Coturnix japonica: one gene and its partner. The protein of the gene in region 1 interacts with the protein of each later gene in a biochemical or structural test. Links are inferred from orthologs where the notes say so. Each region holds a gene or a part of one and is shown on either strand. Other genes may lie near its edges.

Region 1 (11,174 bases):
GCTCGCTAATGTGCTGGCTGAAGAAGGGGAGATGGTATCGAGGTAAAACTGCAGGGAGTTGGTCAGCCGTATTGCTGCTCTCCCCATCGATGTCCTGCTGTTGGCCAGGGCTACACTCAAGACCTCAGCACGTACCTTATAATGCCTGAACAGGTCACAGCAGGAGAAATGTCACAGCGGCTGTCAGCAAATATCCTGAGATTTCACATCTCCCTGACACATTCGCCCACCCAAAGCAACTTGTGGTACAGGAAAGAACAAACCATTTCCAGATCGTGGCACTACAGCTTTGTTTCACTTCGGGACCATAAATCAGCATCAGTGTTTGGTTCCCAAATGCAAATGATCAAAGCACCAATACAGATAAAAGCTTTCAATGATATTGCAGAACCCATCACAAAAAGGTCTTATTGCTCACTCACAGAAAGCACTGGCTGACAGAACAGTCTCTTTTCCTAAAACCTTCTTTAATATTCTCTGCACCCAAACATGAGTTTCTCCAAACGAACAGGGCAGCCGAGTGAGTATTTAAGTCTGGAACCATAAATAGCAGCAAGTAATCTAACCAGACTAATCCAACTTTAAACATGTCAGCTGGACTTGCTTAAAGTTGGGCGGCAATCCAGCCAAACCTCCAACACACACAGTGCCAGGGCCAGCAGCACAACCAGCCGCAGTGCTCCCACTCCTATTTACCTGCAGGGCACTGGTGGCTGCTGCTCTGGTGCTGTCAGCAGGTCGGGACCAGCAGAAAACATCCCAGCACGAAGCTCACTTCCTTACTGGGAGATCTCTCCATTTTACAGCACGGAAAGAGTAATGCTACAATGTTTTATAACACGATAAAGCCATTTAGGGAAGAGGATGAGAACGCTGTAAGGAATTAAATAAGAAATCATTAAGCAGCTCCGCAACAACATTCCAAATTACATTCCTTTATACGAAGGCACCCAGTTTGAGAAAAGAAAGTTTCAAGTTTGGAATAAAGTAGTTATTGTCTCTACTTTCGCTGCCTGAGGGAATGTTCATGCAAACTCCTTTTGGAGACGTAATTTACTTCCACCAGGACAATGGTGCTGGCACAGCTCGGACGTACTGAGAGAGACAAAGGCAGCAAGTCGCAGCCCACCCGCCTGCTCTTGGTTCCCACCCCAGCAGCCCAAAGATACCAGCTGTCCATTGCAAGTTCCCCTTGCTCCATGCCCCACATTTCCATGCCATTTCTATCAACAAGCCCCTGTGCAGCCACAAACACAAGGGCAGACCCAAATGGCCGGCTGGCCAGCCTGGCCTCCTCTCACACCAGCACCATCAGTCTGCAGCCAGGACTCTTTCCAACATAAAAACATAAAATGACAGACAGCCCATGAGCTATTTACTACTTTTGATCTGGAGATCCCTGCACAGATAGTCATTGTTTCTGAACACGGGACATAAAACTGTCTGGGTGGCCAATATTAGTGTTGCTATTGATCAGTCAGTTAACTCTGCTGAATCGATCAATACTACATTAGTCATGAAAGGGAAGCGTTTGTGACACTTTTTAACGTATGCCTTCATAACAAGCTTAAGTGTATTGCTTTTAAAGAAACGTCATATTTTACTTTGGACTTGAATTCACTTCATTCTTTAATGCTTTCCTTAAATTACCAGTGAACGTCTGTGAAACAAACCCAGGGCAGCCATTTATAAGCACTTTGCAGATGGGACTTCCCTAAGCTGTTCTAAGTACAGGGAAATGAAAGTGGGGTTTTGGATACTTCCCTGCACCACCTCTTTGCCTTTCTTTGCCTCTGCTAACACAGAAATCAAACATTGCCTGTGAATGCACCCACCTCACATAAACCAAGCACTTCCTCACCACCTTCCTCATTCCTCCTTGACATTTCTGACATCAAGCTCTCCTTCCTCTCGCCCTCCATTCAAATCCTCTACAGATACAATAACAAGCAGCAACCCAACAACCCCCTGCGCTGGGGCTGCCAAGAAGGAATGCCTTTCTTAAGGCCGAGGGATGACTGTGCTTTCCTGTTACACCAACTGCTGCTCTTCTGCTCAAGAACCTGCTTTGGCCATCTACACGTTTCCATGGGCTGAAATGCTACATGATCCTCTCCCCTTTCCTGCTCCTTCTCTGAAACGATTCATTACATTTGAACTAATGCTTTTTCCTTCCCCATCTTTTCTCACTTCCTTCTCCAGCATCAGAAGCCAGACTGCCTTTAACACCCCTGCTGCAGCAGTGATGATAAAGCCATATCGATGAAGTCAGAACAGAACCTCAAGGTTTTCTGGTAGAAAAGCTGCACACTTAGTCCATTTCCTCCCAGCCTTCCCAATTGCATGGGATTTTCCCATATGCAAGTTACCCAGAACAAGAGCAACTCTGAGATCCAGCACAATGAGACTGCAGTTTTCACAAGTACTTCTGGGTGAAATAACAGTATGAGTAAGAAGCACGTAAAGCTTTGGAGTTGATCAACCCTTTGGAACTGCCCCCAGGGAGCAGCGACTGCAGCAGCAAAGAAAGGTTTTAGAGGAGGACATCAGCTAAAAAAGGGATGTGCTTCACAAAGGCCTTTGGACCACATTCCTCCCTGACCCAGAAGAACCTGAGCAGACTCCTCAAGCACTCACAATACCATTGCATTGTTCCCATCTCTTTTTTGAGTCATCTGTCATGGCTGCTCTACCCGCTGACAGCACGGATACAAAGAGACTACGGATATAATGACAAGTCCTACCTTCCTTTGCCTAGAGCTGCTTCCAGCAGTGAGACAAGGCCATAAGCACCCTTGGCTGCTCTATCACCAGCAGTGGTGAAAGCAAAAGGAACCCTGCATATACTTTAGGAGAAAGTGAGATATCAGGTTCATGAGCCTTGAGGTCCCTTCCAACATGGACCATTTTGGGATAGGGAGAGATGAGCATGTTTGAGGACACAGACATTTTAACCCACCACCCAAGTTACCTGCAGTTGGATCTATTGATTTATTTATTTTTCCTTTCTAAACAGAATGTGCCATTTACCATTTCACTTCATTGCAATCTGCATCATGGTAGGACTGACACCACCCCGCACGAGCTGGAAGATCTAATATATTCATATGACTGAAATGCTTTTAACTCAATGCTTGTACAAACACCATGCCAATAAACAAGGAAAATGAGAACAATGCCTTTAAAAGTAGCAAGATTCAACCACCATTTGCTTTTCCTAATGCTCACAGGCACCTTCAGACTGAGCAGTATTGCACTACTGAAAGTAGCTGTGTGAAAACAAATGATTTCTAATCACAGGAAATACAGCGCAGGTAGTAGATCGTAACAGAAGACGTTCCCTGTCTTGAATTAACACCACTCAAAGCTCCCAGCAGCAGAACAGATGAGGAAGCAGCAGCCGCGATAGCTGTAGTGCTTTGGAGCAGGTAAGTCAGCCCAGCAACCTCCAGCCACGTTGAGGATGCAGCATTTCTTAACAACTCCAAAGGGAAACCTCTCCCAGAGCAATTAGTTTCTGATGAAACGCAGCAATTTTTGTCATACCACCCAGGTCACATGCTTGTAAAAACCTAAAATGAGTTTGAGAGAGCAGAGTTCTCCAATATAATTAATTAAAACAACAAAATACGAGTGAGAAAATCCAAGTTGCTCAATAAGCTGCAACTTCAGCCTCTTGCACAAAATGCTCTCAGCCAGGCAGGAATAGCACACGCTAAAAGGCAAAGAACACTTTGACGCTGCATTCGCTCTTTAGAACTAAAACCAACAGCTTCTAAAACCAACAGCTTCTGTCTGTTATTTAAACGATACCTGCCCGCTCCACAGGGCTGCGACCACAGCACAAGTTACTCAACTGCCTGCGTGTTGATGGACTGACTGGCATACAAACAAGGCACGTCAGTGACTGAGTTGGCATTTAGCACACGGCTCCACAAAACTGATTTCAGATCAAACATCGTCTTTACACCCTAAAAATACTTGCAGCCTTCTCGTGTCCGAAAGGATTTTCAGATTGATATTTTCCTTGCCAACTGCAGCCTCCTAAAGCACGAGCAGCACGGGATCAAGGAAGGATTAAAAGCAAACCAGGGTTTTATGTTGAAGAGTCGCTGCTGACTGATTGCAGTGCACACCAGAAGCAAGTTCACCTGGAACTGGAGTTCACCTTGTGCCATTTCTCTTATTGTTTGGCAATATCTCACGCTCCCACAGCCACAGTTCCATAAAGATCAATACCTGTGCCTGGGTCTGAATGAACCACGGCACCGAGATCTCCAAGTATCCACCTGTTGCCTTTAAAAAGGTCAGATCGGGTCTTATTTATTAATAATTCACCCCACAGCCTTAAGAATCAGAACCTGTGCCTCTTCCCATTAGAACAGCAGCTCAGCATTAGCTGGAGCAGCTCTCAGAGCTAATCCAGACCTCGGAGGGTGCAACATAAATTGGTTTATTCATGTGTGCACACAGAGTTGAGGAGACACAGAGTGCAGTCATTCATTGGCACCTTTAGCTCAGGGGAAGGACTGCAGGAGTTGGGTTTGGGAGAGGAAGCAGGAGAGGAGGAGAGCAAAAAGGGAAACAAAATACAGCAAAACAACAGACCCAAAGCAATGAGACGCACACAGAGAGAACAACGGGGCTCTGCAACAAAGCCTACGGAGCCCAGCGGAGGCAAACGAGATGAGAGGAGGGTTCGGACAGAGCGAACCTGAGGGAACGGCGGCTGCACTGCACACTGCAGGGGGCGGGTGGGAACCGGGAACCGAGAGGGGGAAAAGAATAATAATAATAATAATAATAGAAATAACTTGGAAACGCAGCAGCACCGCGGGCTGGGAGCGGGAATGGGGGAAGCGGAGCGAAGGAGCGGGGGAACAGCTGGGCCCCGCCGCCACGGCCCGGCCTCACCGGCGGCCACGGCCCCCCCGGCACACACACATATACACACACATACACACACATATATACACACACAGCCGCCCCCTGCCCACAACCGGCCCCTCCGCACCGAGCAGCGCCCCGGGCCCCTCCCGCGCCGTTATTACCTGTGAGGCGGATCTTGATGCTGGAGCCGTTCCGACGCGTCCCGGGATTCGACATCGCGCCCTGAGGCGAGATCAACCCGCTGCCCCGCTCAACCCCATACGGGCCCGCTCCAACCTCCGGCCGTTCTCCGCGCTCCGATCGCGGCCGGACCCGCCGCCGCCTCAGCCCGACCCGGCCCGGACAGCGGCTCCGCTCCGCCTCAGCGCCGCCCCGCGGCTCGGCCGTGACGTCAGGAGAGGCGCCGCCATCTTGGGGAGGTCGGGGATGGAGGGGCCGAGTGCTGAAGGAGGAGTGCAGCGCCCCCTAGTGTGTGGGAGGACCTACAGAACACAGCTGCACTGCTAGGCCGCAGCAATGTGTTCCACACAACTCCAGTCATCACTGAGCTTATCACCGAGATACTCTTTGGTCAGAAAAGTTCATCTCAATGAAAGGTAGAAACGCTCTGGATTAGGAAAGTAAAGCATCACCAACCCAGCACGGCACCCATAGACGCTTCGCTTTCAATCCAGTGCTGCAAAGGTGAAAGAAAGCAACTTACCTGTAACAGCCTCAAATAGACATGCAGGAAAAGCACTGACCTTTCCCTTTTTAGCTTGCTCTCAGTCAGCAGAACACCAGCACGCAGCAGCCCTGTGTCCAGGCTCAGGAAGAGCAGGAGCCCAGCTCCGGTCCACATCTCCATTTACACCGAGGAAGCATCAACCTCAGGCTCCTTTTACCCACTGAAATCCAATCATTTCCAGATGCTGCCTCAGCAGCACACTGTAAGGTGGTTCTGGCAGCAGAGCCCCCAGTGCTAACCCACAGCACAAAGGAAGGATGCACACAGGCACTCATCTCCAGAGCACACTCAGGTTTTGTGCTATTCCGATTTTCACTTCATAGTGTCAGATCCAGGAAATAAATCGACTCCAGCACTTCAACTACACTCAGCAAGCTCAGGGCTGTGCACCTTGTACAGACCACAGGGGCTCTGCTTCCTTCTTTCTAGGCAACCTGGAGGAGAAATACCCTCTATCCTGCAAGGAGGCCCAGGAGACACAGCACAAACACAAAGGCCAAGCAGGGTTCAGTTCCTTCTTAACAGTTAACAAGAGGTTACACACTGCAGGCAGGCAATGTCTCACACAGAAAACACTTCCAAAAACTCCAATATGTAATTTTCCCATATGTTTAAGGAACCAGAGAGCTGTGATCTTCACCACAGCAGAAGTATGAGAGAAAAGGAATAGAGGCAAGAAGTACAAATCCACAAGTGCAATTTATTACTAAGTTCCACCTGTAAAAGGGCTATACATCTCTACTCCCCTTGGTCAGGACACCCAGCCTCCACCCACCAAGTCAGAGCTGTGCAGTGCTTCAGCCTTTGAAGTCTTCACAGTGGAGAAGCAAATTATATACCCCTTCCACATCCATTCCAATGCTGCAGATCAGGAGTCTCCTAGGAGGAAGTTCACAGCCATCAGTTAATGGGTCTGCATCTTTACTTGCTTAAACACTGCAGGCAACTTTCAGACGTCAGCTCTGGGGTCTGTCAGACCACTATAAGCCTCTACTTTGGTCTTCCCTAATCTGTAAGAACAAGGCTGGCTCCAAATACGGACTTGTGACAGTTATGGAATTCCCTTAGGACTCCTTGCTGAGGTCCTGTACTTTTCTCACAAGTTTAACACAAGAAGAGTCAAGTAACCCAGAAGGAACTTGAGCACAGTTATCAGTGAGTAGGAGGCTGCCCTTCCTAGCAACAAGCCAGCCAGGAAAGAGGAAGCCTTCTCACATTTGGAATGCATATCAGCAATTGCAGTGATGCCAGCTGATGCCATTGGAAATTCCAGCAGCAAGATGCTATCAAAGCATCTCTAATGCACAGCAGTCAGCTGACAGATCAGGGTTCTATAGACCTCTGGAAGGTAAAGGGAGTAAGCTATAAGAACTACCCCATTCAATTTCAAGAAGATACCTAAGGACTTATCTCAGCATCTTTAAAGGATGTGCTCCGCTTCGACACACAACAGTTCATTTTCTAATGAGCAGCAGCAAGAGCTCACATACCTCACCAGAGAAGTACTTCTCTATGATATTCAGAGCAGCTCTATAGACCATGATGTTGTCATGGGTTTGCAAGGCTTCAATTTTCTCCAGACCATCAAGTTCTTCCACCAGCAGACACAGCCTCTCTGTCTCTCCCAGCTTCTCAGCTGCCTGCAAACAACAGAGGCAAGTACAACCCATGTCAGTAATGGGGTCAAGGTGGTTCCTGCCTAAGGGCCAAGTGACTGCAGGTAGGAACACAAGGGTCTGCACTGTGTTCAGAGATGCCTAGAATATGACTGTAGTATCAAACTACAATATATCAAACTGTCCCTGTTTTTTCACTATATTGTGGTTTTGCTGCCAACCAAAACACCTCCTGAACCCTTGGGAGACCCCAGCACCATCCAGTTCCAAGACCTTCATTTTCTGTATTGGCTCAGTGATTAGCACACTGTTTCTCCTTTAGGAAAGGAGAGGATGCACTCTGGAACTTCATGTCAAGCCCTTTTGGCAACCCAAAAGGACTCAAGAACAAGTCAGGCATGAAGTCTAACTCACTCCTGCAAGACTAACTGCTGGGGAGGAGCTGCTTCAGCTGCACCTGCATCATGCGAGCATCCCTCTCACTCCTCATTACTTATTTGGCAAAAGGGATGTAAGATCTTACCAGGAATAGATTTGAAATCGAATCCAGGATAACCAGGATAGTTTTGGTGTCTCTGACCAAAAGCAGGTTGAGCAGAGGCTTGAGGACCCCAGACTGGACAAGCTCCACCACCTGCTCCACAGTGCCACCAGTTGTCAGGTTGGCCACTGCCCACACTGCCTCCTTCTGGGCCCTGAAATCCCCCTAGAAGAGCAACAGAAAAGGCATTCCCAGACTTTAGCATCCCTCAGAGCAGGCTGAGATGTCAGGCAAGGAGAGCCACTCCTTGTACATAATGCAGACTAGTCTGCTTTCCTAGCACTGCGTGGACACACAGCAGAGCTGCCAAGACCAGCTCCAAGCTGTTTCTTTGTGCAGATGTATTAAATACAATGCTCATGCTGCTCCTCAGATCCCAGCAGCTTCACAGAACACTGATCAGGTGGCTCTTGGGCACAGCACCTCACAACAAAGCTGCACAGAATGAAGCTGAGCACTGCCCCACATGCACAGAGCTATGTCCATCCCCTTACCTTATCAAGCAGCTCCACCAGAGGTGGCAACAGCCCGCAGGTGATGAGCTGCTGGATCTGCTGGCAGGGCCCAGCTGCAATGTTGCTGAGTGCCCACGCTGCCTCCTTCTGTATAGCTGACTTCGTGTGTCCCAGGAGAAGGGGCAGGATAGCCAGGACACCAGCATCAATAGCTGCCTGGGTCTGCTCATCAGTCCCTGTAACCACATTCCCAATGGCACGCAGAGCTGGAGTCTAGACAGATTAGAGCAGATGGAGATGAGAAGTCTTATCTCAAGGGATACACACCAGAAAAACCAGCAAGCACCTTCACTAAGTGCCTGAACCTTCATTTGAAGTCCCATGGATGATTACTGCTATGGTTACAGACCTACCTACCAGCCTCCTGTTCTGATCTAAGCAGATTTACAGGCTCTTCCCAGCCACAGCAAGAAGGAACATAGCACTGGCTTGATCAGCAACAAGCAGAACCACAGAGTGAAGAGGCAGCAGACCACAGACAGCAAGGAGCTGCTCCCTCCCTCTCCCCAGATGTCCCTACGTTAAAGGCCCAGAGATCAGGAACTGACAACTGCTCCTTACCATGATGATAATCTCAGGGCTGCCCATGAGCTCCACCAGCCGTGGCAGAATCCCTGTATCCACCACAATCTGGATACGGTCATTGGAGCCATCAGTCAGGTAGGACACAGCCCAGCAGGAGTCAGAGACAATGTCCTTGTCCTCGTGCTCCAGCAGGCAGGTGATGACAGGCAGCAGCTGCCTCACTGCCTCCAGGGGTGGGTATGGGTTCTTATTCCTGCAGAGGTTTGACAGAGTCCATGTGATGTTCCTCAGGAAGCCAACCTGGAAGATGAGGAAGCTGTGAGATACTTGTTGCTGAGCCCTCTGGTGCAACCAACACTGCTCCACAGCAGCAGATGTTATCAGCCAAGAGCAGCCTCTTTAATAAGGGCTGAGGCTTGTTTGAAGCAGAGAGATAAAAGAGCAGACCTCCCCTCCTCCAGTATTAAGTCCCAATAACCTCAGATCTGATGGCATGACAAGCCACTGTGACTAACAAAGGCATGAAACAGCTCACTGCCAGGTCCCCAGGACCAACTACAAAGCATTCTTTGGACAAGACCAAGGGTGTTACTTTAATATTAGCAGCCCAGCATCACAGAGAAGGGTTTGAGTTCCCTCATCCCAGTGAGAAGAGCAGTGGAGCACCATTGTCACAGGTCCATATTTGCAGCCCACCTCACAGCACTCTGAGAAGGTTCTTCTTCCCCTGAAAGCTGTGGGGCAGGAGGGCAGGGCACAGCAGGAGAAAGCAGGAAGGACAAGTTCTGCACTGTGCATGCATATGCAAGTCTGCTGTGCACCAATTGTAACTTACTCCTTGCTTGAGATGGTCAAAGCTGGATGGAAAAGCTTTATTTAAATCACTACATTGACTTAAAACGCATCTACCTGGCATCTTGTTCAGGGTTAGGCTCATTAAAAGCAGTTTAAACAAGAGACCCATCCAACTGACCTAACAGCTGGTTATTTGTGAGTCATGTCACCATTCACCCATTACCCAAGTGAACAGGAGTGCCAAGTCAAGAACAAGAAAGTTATTTACTGGAGTTACAGGTGACACCAGAGCCAGCAAGGGAGGAATCACATTGCAATTGATAAGAGCATCTCTGTACAGAGGACCATCACCTGCACAGATAAAGAGGGTTATTTATGATACATATTTCAGTCACAGACAGGCAACATCCAAGAGCAGCCAGAGGCCCCACTACTAATGATGCTGGTGGGTTGGACCAGCCCAGCAAGATGCACTCTTGTGTTTGGCTATGGCCAAAATCCTCTGCAAGACCAGCCCAGGGTTGGAAAGGCTGCCAGGCCATAAGAATAGCAGAACAGAGCTGCAGGGAGATGGGCCCCATCTCAAGGAACACCGCTGTTCATCACCCCAACAGTAGCTGGGGCAGTGACCATGTCCTAACCCAGCCCTGCCTGGGGTCCCCACTCACCTGCAATGTTGCCCAGTGCCCACACAGACTGCTCACTGATGTGCATGTGGGGGGAGGACAGGAGGGAGACGAAGGCAGGGATGGCCCCTCCCTCCACCACTGCCCTGGTGTGCTCTGAGGTGCCGGATGCGATGTTGGTCAGTGCCCAGGCTGCTTCAAACTGCAGAGCAGCATTGTCAGAACGGGACAGGAACTCAACCAGCCTGGGGATGATCCCCAGGTCAACAATCTGATTGAGAGGGGGGTCCTTCTGCGTGGACAGGATCCTCCTGTAAGAGGGCACAGCACAATTTATAACCATAGGGATCCATCTGCATAGGATACCATCAGGGCCCTGATCTAGCCAAGAACAGCTAGAAAAGGGAGCACTTCCAGCTAGATCTAAATTCCAGCCACAACACCTGTGCTGACAGAGGAGGGAATCCATGGTTTAGAGCTGTGTTGTCACCAGATCTCACCATGGTGCAAGCTCAGGGTGCTGCCAGGACACCCCAAGCAAGGGCAGGCTCAGCTGCAGTGCCAGCTGTACTGCACACCAGGGATCTACCCCAGGAAAACCCCAGCTCCAATGCAGCTTCCCCTGGACCCTGGGGACAGATTCCTGCTGATGGTGACTCAATGGGGACAGCCCTGTTCAGCCACATCCCTCTGCAGAGCAGCCCTTTTTCTGACCCAGCCTCCAACACCAGGTTCCTTCCCATCCACCTCAGGTGACTGCAGCCAGCACAGCCCAGAAGGCACCACCAACCCCAGTCCCCAGGGCTGGCAGGCTCCTTCCCCAGTGCATTTTGTGCCTTCAACACCCCCCAAGCAGGAACAATGTCCCCTGGCCCCCAAACCCCACAGCAGCCCATCCCTCCCATCGAGCAGCATACCTGGCTGCCTGAGTTGCCCGCA
Region 2 (9,765 bases), about 6.4 Mb from region 1:
GAGGAGGTGGTGGAGGTGGTGTTCGGAGTGGCCGAGGCGGATGAGCTGTTCAAGGCGTACGGGCTGTCGGCCGACACCGTCTGCCTCTTCAAGAAGGTGAGTGGGGTTGGGGTGGTGGGGCTGCGGCGGGGCCTGGTGCTCACTGTCCCACACCTGGCAGTTCGATGAGGAGAGGACGGATTTCCCCGTGGACCCGGAGCAGGGCCTGAATGTGGCCGAGATGACGCGGCTGCTCCGCGTGCACAGCCTGCAGTTGGTGATGGACTTCTTGAATGAGGTTCGGCTGCTGCCCTCCCCAGCCCTGGTGTGGCTGCAGGGTGCCCAGCCTCTCACCCTCCTCCTCCCTTACAGACCTCCGGACAGATCTTTGGGGCCAAGATCCCCAACCACATGCTGCTCTTCCTCAACACCTCTGTAGCCGAGCAGCAGGCACTGCGGGATGAGTTCCGTGCGGCCGCCAGCGCCTTCCGGGGTGAGGTGAGGTGATCCCATGGCAAGCAAGGATGGGACCTGGGGGACCACAGCCTCAGCACTGCCCATCTCCCCCTCCAGGTGCTCTTCGTGGTGGTGGATGTGGACGGGTACGGTGCCTCTGTTTTGCACTTCTTTGGTCTGAATCCCAGTGATGCGCCCACACTGCGCCTCATCAAGATGGAGAACAACCGCAAGTACCGCATGGAGGCAGACGCCTTCTCAGCCACGGCCATACGCGACTTTGTGCGGGCAGTGCTGGACGGGAAGGTGAAGGTGAGCAGATGGGAGCCTGGATCTGAACCTGGCCCCAAACAGGTCCCAGCAGGACATCCCTGCTGTCCCCACAGCCCCAGCTGCTGAGTGCAGAGCCCCCCGAGGACTGGAACACGCGGCCCGTTAAAGTGCTGGTGGGGAAGACCTTTGAGCAGGTGGCATTTGATGAGACCAAGAACGTCTTTGTGAAGTTCTGTAAGTGCTGAAGTCCTGTTCCTGAGCTGCATCGTGGGGCTGAGCCCCTCTCCATGACCTCTCCTGCATCCCCACCCCTCGCCTACCCCCGGTGCCCCCAGCCTGGCTGTGACCTCCAGCCCTGTGCCCGTCACACAGATGCTCCGTGGTGCACCCACTGCCAGGAGATGGCGGCTGCCTGGGAGGAGCTGGGCGAGCGCTACAAGGACCACGAGGACATTGTCATTGCTGAGATGGATGCCACAGCCAACGAGCTGGAGAACATCACCATCAGCGGATACCCAACACTGCACTACTTCCCTGCTGGGCCGGGCAGGAAGGTGGGCAGGGACAGGTGTGGGGAATCCCTGGCACTGCCAGCACCTGGGGAAGGTCAGGCTCAGATGTCACCCTGTGTCCTCCTCCTGTCCCCCGGCTCCAGATGGTTGAATATCGGAGTGCTCGAGACGTGGAGACCTTCTCCAAGTTCCTGGAGAATGGAGGGAAGCTGCCGGAGGAGCCACCCACGGTGAGAGAGGTGCCCCATCCCTGGGCAGGGGCTGCCACCCAGGGCACAGACCCTGCAGGACACGTGGGATGGAGACAGGACACGTCCATCCCTGCCTCACCATCACCTTCTGCAGGTGTCCATGGCCCCAGAGAACAGCACAGAGTCACCGAGCTCATCTGGCACAGCCGAAGCCCGGGAGGAGCTGTGAGTCCTGTCCTGCTGCAGTGGGCATTATAAATGACCCTGGAAATGATGCGGGCTCTGTCTGTGTCTGTGGGATGCAGCTGACAGCCATGTCATGGGGCACATGGCACTGAATGCTGCCTGCTTGGCCTCCTGGGGACACAGTGCAGCTGGTGGGTGCCTCGATGGGGGTTGAGCCCACTGGGGTGTGCAGGGCAGTCGGTCCCATGGTCAGCTTGGCCTCAGGCACCCATGGCACTGAGCATTCCCATGGAGGGGGTGCTGCCTTTGCCTTCCTGTGATGCTGGACCCAACACAGCCCTGGGCACGCTGTGATTCTCGTCCTTCTGTCCCTGCAGTGTCAGAGTGCTGCAGGCAGCCCAGGTTGGCCCTTGTGCTGCCCCAGGCATGGGGCTGTCAGGGTTTCGGGGATGAAGGAACCACAGAAGGCTTTCAGCTTCATGGCCCCAAGGCCTCCTGCCTCACACCTGGGCTGCAATAATGCAGAGCTGCCCCAGGGCTCCAGTCCCAGCAGCTGCTTTCACACCCTGGAAAGGCAGGAGTAGCCCCAAATTGGGCTCTAAAGAGCCCTCTGGAGCCTTTCCAATGCCTGGCTCACAGTCTCAGTCCCCAGCACCATCCCCTCCCCCCTGAGCTGCTGCTCTCCAGCCATAAGCAATGGCTCTGGGACCCCCATGCCCACCCTGTGGGCAGCCCCATTTGTGTGCCCATGGCCCTGGGTCAAAGCAGAGCCCTTCTGTCTGCTCCCATTCTCAACCCACTCCCACGTCTGCTCCGCGGGGAAGGAAGAAACCAGAAGGCACCGGGATGTGGGGCTTTATTTCATTTTATCCAAGTACCTTTGAAAAGATCATTGTACAAGTCAGCACATGAGGATGCACAGGAGACACCAGCAGGGCTGCACGGCCGCTGGAGGATGCTGCGCTCAGCAAATGTACATATTTACAGGGAACCCCCTGAGAAAAATAAGGGGGAGACGGAAATCCCAGGCATGGCAACAACCTCACCAGACACAACACCAGCAGAACTTAAAAAAGAGGGAGGAAAAGACGCTCGTAACACTGTTCCCTGGTTGAAAACGATTGCAGATTTTGCTGGACTTCACATAGTGGTAGGCAAGTCACAGAACCGTGTTTAAAGGCACGTGACGCTGTACAAGAGGCTGAGTTGTCACCCAGCTACTGCGAACCGCCTGCAGGCAGCCGGGTTGTGCCCCAGTGCTGCAACAGCAGTGAGCAATGGGGCATGTGGGCAGGCAGGGTGAGTGCTGATGTGGGACCCCCGAGGAGCTGGAGCTGCGGGCACAGGGTTTGCCCAATGGCTGGTGCAGGGCTGCGGCTGCTGGGGCACAGAGCACAGCCTGGGCTGGTGGGAAGGGCAGGGCTGAGGGCAGGTGGAGCTGAGATCAGACCCATCTGCACCCCAGTAGTTGCCCCTTACAGTGACTGCAGCATTTGGGGGACCTGGCTGTACAACAGCCCCTCAACTCCTTTGCTGCTGGCTTCAGACCCCTCACACTGCTTCCCCAGAGACAGAACCTGACAGAAGACACCGGATTCATAACACGATGGTTTCTGTCCTCAGACTGGAAGTGTCTCATTGGTTTCCTCCCTGAACTACCCCTCTCCTAAGGCAACACCCCTGAGCAAAGCCCAGCCTTGGCACTGGGGTCTGCACACAGCTGCCAGCCCTTCATTGGGGCTGCAGCAACCTCCAGGAGGGAACGTCTGCCCCAAGAGCAGGCACATGTGGGGGACAAGCACAGGGCATGGGATGCCAGTGTCCAGCCCCGCAGTGCTGAGCAGCAGCTGACCCTCACTGGTGGCCCACAGCCCTGCCCTGGTGGAAGGCACCACAGGAAGCCTGCAGCACCAAGAACTGGCACCCACCCTCCCTTTCCCTTGGGGATTCACTTGGTCACAAGAAAGCTCAGGAGGAAAACCACCCCTACCAGGTCCAATAGCTGCGACTGCCAGGGAGGCGAGAGCTCAACTCGTTCAGAGTGGCTCAATAATCTTCAGTGGGGGCCACTCTGGAGTGCAGCAGTGACTTCCACAGCAGCAGGGACAGCAGCTTGTCGGCTGGGTGCACCCCAGCCCAGCATTGCTCAGAGCCATCCACACTGAGGGGGCAGGGAAGGGGGGCTGTGAAAGCGAGGACCACACGGAGTCTGATGGATGGCTGTACACTTTGGGTGCGTTCTGCAGTACCTGCGTGTTTTTACATTTACATAAGAGCACTGTGACATTGGAAATATTTTCCTTTTATTACAATATATCAAAAATATGCAGCTTTAGTAAACAAGTTCATTTTACACTTTCTAATGCACTGTACAATGCTACATTACACTTATATTCCGTATGGAGAGGGAGCCCAGGCTCCCACTGGCAGGTTTGTGGGGGTGAAACGACTTCCCATGGCACAACAGAGCTTGCCCAGGTCCTGGCACAGAGTGGGCTGCACCGTGGGCTCGCCCAGCACCTCCTGGAGTAGCACCGCCAGCGTCTGCCCCAGACCTTCTCCTCCAGTCCCAGAGTCTTTCACAGTCCTTTCCTGCAGCCTTGGAGCCTAATCGATCTTCTCCACCTTCCCAATGATCTTCTCTTCGAAGATGGGCAGGATGGTGTCGTCCTCCCGCACCTCCTCGAAGACCACACCGCAGTCAAACTCATCACTCACTTTCTTAAAGTAATACCTGAAAGGGAAGGAACACGGGGACACAGAGGGGTTAAGGGCCACGTGGGACATCACAGTGATACCCAAACATGGGGGGCAGCTGTGGCTGTGAGCTCATGATGAATGGGAGCAGCCCCAGCAGACATGGAGGCTGGCATCCACCCCTGCCCTCTCCTAGTGAGGGTAGTCAGAATGCAAGCAGGCATGTTGAGAAGCAAACTGTGATGCAGGATATTTCTGGAGGTAGGACTCCAGATGCAAGTCTGAGTTCTACCCTTATTTAAAAAGCACATTCCTGGCTCACTTTGGGACTTACTTTTCTAAGTGAAAGGAATGTCCACTGGCAACCAGATGCTGCCACAACCCTGCAAGGCTGCTGAGAACCCCAGTAGCTCCCCTGACCTACCTCCTTTGCCTTGACAGGATCAACATCCTGGTGGTAGCAGCTGCCAGGGGGTGCTGACAGTCTGCTGGCACCACACTGCAAGTGGCAAACAGCCCTTACCTGTAGTTCCCTTTCTTGGTCAGCAGCTCCTTGAACTGTCCCAGTGTCACCACGCGCCCTTTGACGAGGGTGCGATATGGGATGGGCTCTCCACAGAAGTAATAAGCGACCACGATGTTCTCACATGGCTGGGATGCTCCGCTGCCTGGTCTCTTCTGGGGCTTCAACCTGTTGTACAAAATCACAAGCAATGTCCTGAGTATCGGCCTATGGTGCTTGGCACAGACTCAGCATCATCGGCAGCACTGGGTGCTGGTTGGGGTGAGGGGCTGCCCAGGCAGGGGATGCAGGTCCAGACCTTCATTTATCTGCAGAGAACTGGAGCCTTTCTGTATGGAGGTGCCAAAGTAACACTCAGGGCCCTCAGGAAACATCTTTTACTCTGACCACCTTTCTTGGCATACATCTGTGCACTCAGGCTGGTGAACAGCACTTAGAAAGGCTGGATGGAGGCCAGCTCATAGATAGGAGGAACAGGGCACAGGTTCCAGCTCAGCCCCTTCATGCTGCAGAAACCCATCCCAGGGACAGGCTTTGAAGTGGCTTTCCTGCAGCACTGAACTCTGAGAGCAATTGGTTTAGGCAGAGCAAGGCAGAGCATCACACACCCACTGCAGCCAACCAGTGTCACCACCGGTGTGCACCACTGTGCTTGGGCTTCAGGCTTCAAGGCTTGCTACCTGGACCTCAGTACAAGCAGTGCTTCGGTGATGGCTCCCAGGGCTCAGTCTGCAGGAGAAGCCTTCATATCATAGACAAGGAGAAGAAAGTGCCATCCATATCAGCTAGCAACTCCCTTTGTGAAGCATTTGGAGTTCTCATGTGCAGCTCTGGGATGTGCCAAACCCTGTGTGCTTTGCTGCTCACCCCATCCTGTCTTGCTCCATCATGCAAGGCCTGGCTGGGCTGCAGGCTGGATTTTGGAAGGCAGACACCATCCTCAAACCTCCAGTGAGCAGACCTGGAACCTCTCACACCTTCCTGCCTGTCGGGATGTCGGTCTGCTCCTTCCCTCCAGCCCACACACTGGCATTTGCTACTTGGTGCCATCACCAGATTGAAAGTGTCCAGTCCTCGCCTCATTTTCAGAGTCAGACAAAAGTAGCAACAATCAAAATAAGGGCACTTTGCACTTGTGTGGAGCCTTTCATCTGGGGCGCTGTAAATGCTGCACAAACATTTGAGCAGCCTACACAAATGCGTTGCTTGGCATGTGTGGTCTCAGCCAGAGGCAGCCTTCTCTTTCAGAATCACATAAAACAGATTTGGCAGCTTTAAAATCATTTAAAAGGCACACGGGGTAAAAGGGAAAAAAAAGGAGAAAAAAAAAAGGATGATTTTGTATTTATAGGACTGGAAAGTTGCTATAAGAGCAGAATACGCCAAGCACATGAGCTAATGGCAGTGTTGGAAATGGCTGTGACCTCAACCTTTAAATACAGTCACAGCACCTTTGTAATGGCACGTCCACAATAACATTGGCACTGCAAACCAAGACCAGGGAGAACTCTGTCACCTCTTTCTAAAGCCATGAGAGGTCTAAAGTTCAGCTCATAATGCTCCTGGTGCCTGCTCTGCTCTGGAGACCATTGGAGAAACTGCAGCATCCCAAGAGGTGATGGAGCTCCTTGTGCCAGCACAGCTCTTAGAAGCCATCCCTGTATCAAAGCACAGGATGCCCTTTAGGCAGAAAAACATTAAGGAATTGAATCATCCTCTGGAAAAAATAAAAAATAAAATCATGTGTTTAAAGGAAAAACGGGTCATAAATTCAGGCAAATTCTGTGTATCCTGTGAGCCAGGAGTTAATTGAAGGGGTTTGGAAAACCTCAGAGTCCCTCAGCTTCTCTTAATGCTGCTGGAAACGAGTCATGACTATGAGAGAGCTGCTGGTGCCCAGGGGAGCTGGCACGGAGGCTGGTGGGGATGCAATGACACACGCTGTGCATGCAGCATGGTGCTTAGGCTGCTGGAGGGCAGCTCCTTGGTCACTGGGGGGGCAGGCAGGACTGTCACAACCAACACCTCGAGCTCCCCAGCTCTGCCATGATAAAGCCAGAGCAGGATTGTGCCAATGGCTGGGAGCCTTCCTCCTCCCACTGTGTAATTTGTGCCTGAAAAGCTGCTTTGCAGCCACCTCAGACTGGCTGCTGTGCTCCTCTTCCCCAGGCTCAGAAAGGGGCTGTGGGGACCGTGTGGCTTCTGGAAAGCATGTGAGGGAGAAAGAGCCGCCTGGTTCTTTCTGACAGGACCCCAGGAGGCCACCAGTGATGGGACAAGAGCCAAAGGTTTGGTGCCTCCTTGCAGGAAGGAACATCACCCTTTAAAGCATCACAGAATACACACACGTCCCCAGATCTCTAGCAAACTGAAGCAGGGATGATGAATAAGGAATCATTGACAACACAGTTTTCCAGACATTCCTCCCCTGAGAACATGACAACACAACCATCTCTGCTGCCATCATCGCACAGAAACCTCCCGAGGCCACTTCTAACCCAGATGGGCCCCTGCTGAGTGTGCTGCTCCATCACAGCACGCCTGAACCCTGCCTCATTGGAGCCTCCATCTGCACCCATCCCCTGGGTCTGCAGTGTACCCTCTCCATGAACACACACAATTAACTCTCTGTTCCTTCTTCTGGCCTCAGCTCCCTTTGCAAAGTTTGTCACAAGCAGGAAATGTTACCCAGCAAGATAAATGCAGTGCTGACTGCCTTACTGCACCTTACCCTGCCCAAGGAGCCTTGAGCTGGGGAGGCAGCCAGATCATGGCAGGGGTGGGACTGGGGGGGGGGCTGTAAGGTCTCTTCCAACCCAACCATGCTGTGATTCTATGGTTCTATGACCAGCACTAACTCAGCCTGTGTCAGAGCACAGACACAGCCCAGCTGTGATGCTGCCATGCCCAGCACAGGGGAGGTTTGCTCCATCCCAGCCCTGGGGCCAAAGAGCTGTGGAAAGCCTGAAATACAGCCAGCAGATGTTACCTCAGGAGGTGTCCCAGCATCCAGCTCTGCTCCTCTTCCAGGCCTGGCCCAATCAAACTAATTCCAAACCAAGCTCACGCTAACATTTTTGCTGGAGAGACTAGAAAATTCTTTTGCTGCTTACGAAAATCTCTTCTCTGCAGAGCTGCTACTAATTACTTCTTCCAGCTGGAAACGTATGTGCACTGTGACAGTGAGCTACAGAAAATGGCTCAAAAACTGACTGCACAGGCAAGCAACCACCGGGACAAGGCTCTCCACCAACACAATGGGCACAAGAGGTCAGGTCAGCCAGCACTGGACACTTCAGCTTGCATAGGCTCCCAAAGATCAATGGCCCAGCCTCAAACACTGTGAGGAGGCAGCACAAGTGTGAAAGCAGAACGGCCCAGCGTGGCTCAGCCTGTTCTCCTGCTGGTCTGAAGGGCACATACCACAACGCCATGGGGTTTCTACAAAAGCTGCCAAGTTGTTATTAGAGTATTCAAGACACATGCATAAAGCCCAGGCTGGTGTTTCCCAAGTGTGCATCTGCACCTAGACGTTTCTTGGGAAGGTGTATGAATTTAATATGACTATAAATGACTCCACAAATAAACCTTATCCAATTACACCAAGTGAAAGTTAGATCAAATAAGCCTGGCCCAAGCCGACGTGGGAGAGCCCTCTAATTATTTAGCTTCCAATCAATGCTCTGATATAAATATGCAGAAGTCTGCTACATGACCACTGCAAGCACAAATAATTGCAGCTCAGCAATTAGAGGAGCTTGTTCTTTAAATTACACTCATGTTTCTGAATGTCAGACTCCAAAGTTTAGAGTTTTCAGAACACAGCTATAAAGCAATGAAGTGACTACAAGCAATTCCCATTGTGAAAGGTTTTTAATGGTCAAAGTGCTTTTAGTTCTTAACAGTAATTATCAAGCACTTCCAAAATGTTTTTCATCTGAGAGCTCTGTGTGCCTTGCAACTAATCCTCCCTGAAAGATAATACGGGAGCAGAAGAATTAGCTCTGCAACAGGCATTGAGCTGAGTCACAGGAAGCTGCAGTGACTTGGATACAGGCATGCAGAGAACAATACTGCTGCAGCAGTGTGCAGCGCTCCCCCTGAGCTGCCACAAGCTTCCTTTGCTGGAAGATTGAATGAGATGTAGATAAAGAGCACATACATATTCTTCTGCACTTAATTTTGCTGCATTCTGCTGAATTTTGCCACTGCACCAACCAAGAACTCTGCAACCAGTGTGTGAACGAACCACGAGTGTGCTGGTGAAGATGAGGTGAGTACAGCAAACCGGACGCTGACTAGTTCTACAAAGAGCGCTCTTCCCTCTCATGCTATTTCTAAACAGGCTCCACCTGCCCAGGCTCATTCAGAACATTTCCAGACTTCCAATCCACAAAACTCAAGCCCAGGCCTTAAGGCAGCTTGTGGCATTTGCCTGTCAGAAGCCATGTCAGAGAGAATGAGGAGGCTTCCCTGACCTCTCTGCAGGTGCCTCCACTCAGTTAGTGCTGGAAACTGGAGCACAGCACCTCCCATGGCTCCCCAGTCACAGAGCAGCCTCCCCCCTTTTCTCCCATGCATACTCAGACCCCATGGCCATACCTTTGTTTCAGTGGGAGTTTTCCAGCTCTCTTTTCCTCCTCCTCCAACCTCCTGCGAGCTTCTTCCAACTGGGTGAGTGGGTTGGGTGCTGGGTTGGGTGGCATGGTAGGATCTTGGATGAAAGGATGTGAAGGCTGGACGACGTTCCGGAGCTGGGCACTGACCCACGGATGCACTGCAACAGGCCGCTCAATGGAGAGGGGTCGGACCATGTCGTGGGACAGCTGCTTCTTAGCACCTGAAGAGCTACACACAAATACAAAGGTTTTACACAGGCTGCTGAGTCACTCTGCACACGTGCACGTCCAGATGATACCATGAAATGCACAATAGAAACAAACCCAGC

What was found. The genes of interacting proteins can lie anywhere in the genome.
Region 2: of the proteins of SMURF1 (region 1) and AXIN1, one has a biochemical effect on the other in vitro, tested with the Homo sapiens proteins (2 studies listed by BioGRID, with this or other methods). The link is inferred for Coturnix japonica from reciprocal best matches to the Homo sapiens genes SMURF1 and AXIN1.

The regions. Positions count from the first base shown.
Region 1 is NC_029529.1:4,355,275-4,366,448, forward strand, and holds the start of SMURF1 (E3 ubiquitin-protein ligase SMURF1), read right to left. Parts: upstream 5,265-11,174; 5' UTR 5,107-5,264; coding exon 5,052-5,106; intron 1-5,051. Other genes in the region: KPNA7 (importin subunit alpha-8), read right to left, coding at 6,449-6,496, 7,108-7,257, 7,757-7,939, 8,269-8,502, 8,851-9,114, 9,878-9,960, 10,278-10,546, 11,153-11,174. UniProt on the Homo sapiens protein: E3 ubiquitin-protein ligase that acts as a negative regulator of BMP signaling pathway. Mediates ubiquitination and degradation of SMAD1 and SMAD5, 2 receptor-regulated SMADs specific for the BMP pathway.
Region 2 is NC_029529.1:10,802,200-10,811,964, reverse strand, and holds the end of AXIN1 (axin-1), read right to left. Parts: intron 9,666-9,765; coding exon 9,420-9,665; intron 4,986-9,419; coding exon 4,818-4,985; intron 4,332-4,817; coding exon 4,205-4,331; 3' UTR 3,879-4,204; downstream 1-3,878. Other genes in the region: PDIA2 (protein disulfide-isomerase A2), read left to right, coding at 1-96, 161-277, 352-477, 553-747, 822-942, 1,081-1,262, 1,364-1,450, 1,566-1,640. UniProt on the Homo sapiens protein: Component of the beta-catenin destruction complex required for regulating CTNNB1 levels through phosphorylation and ubiquitination, and modulating Wnt-signaling.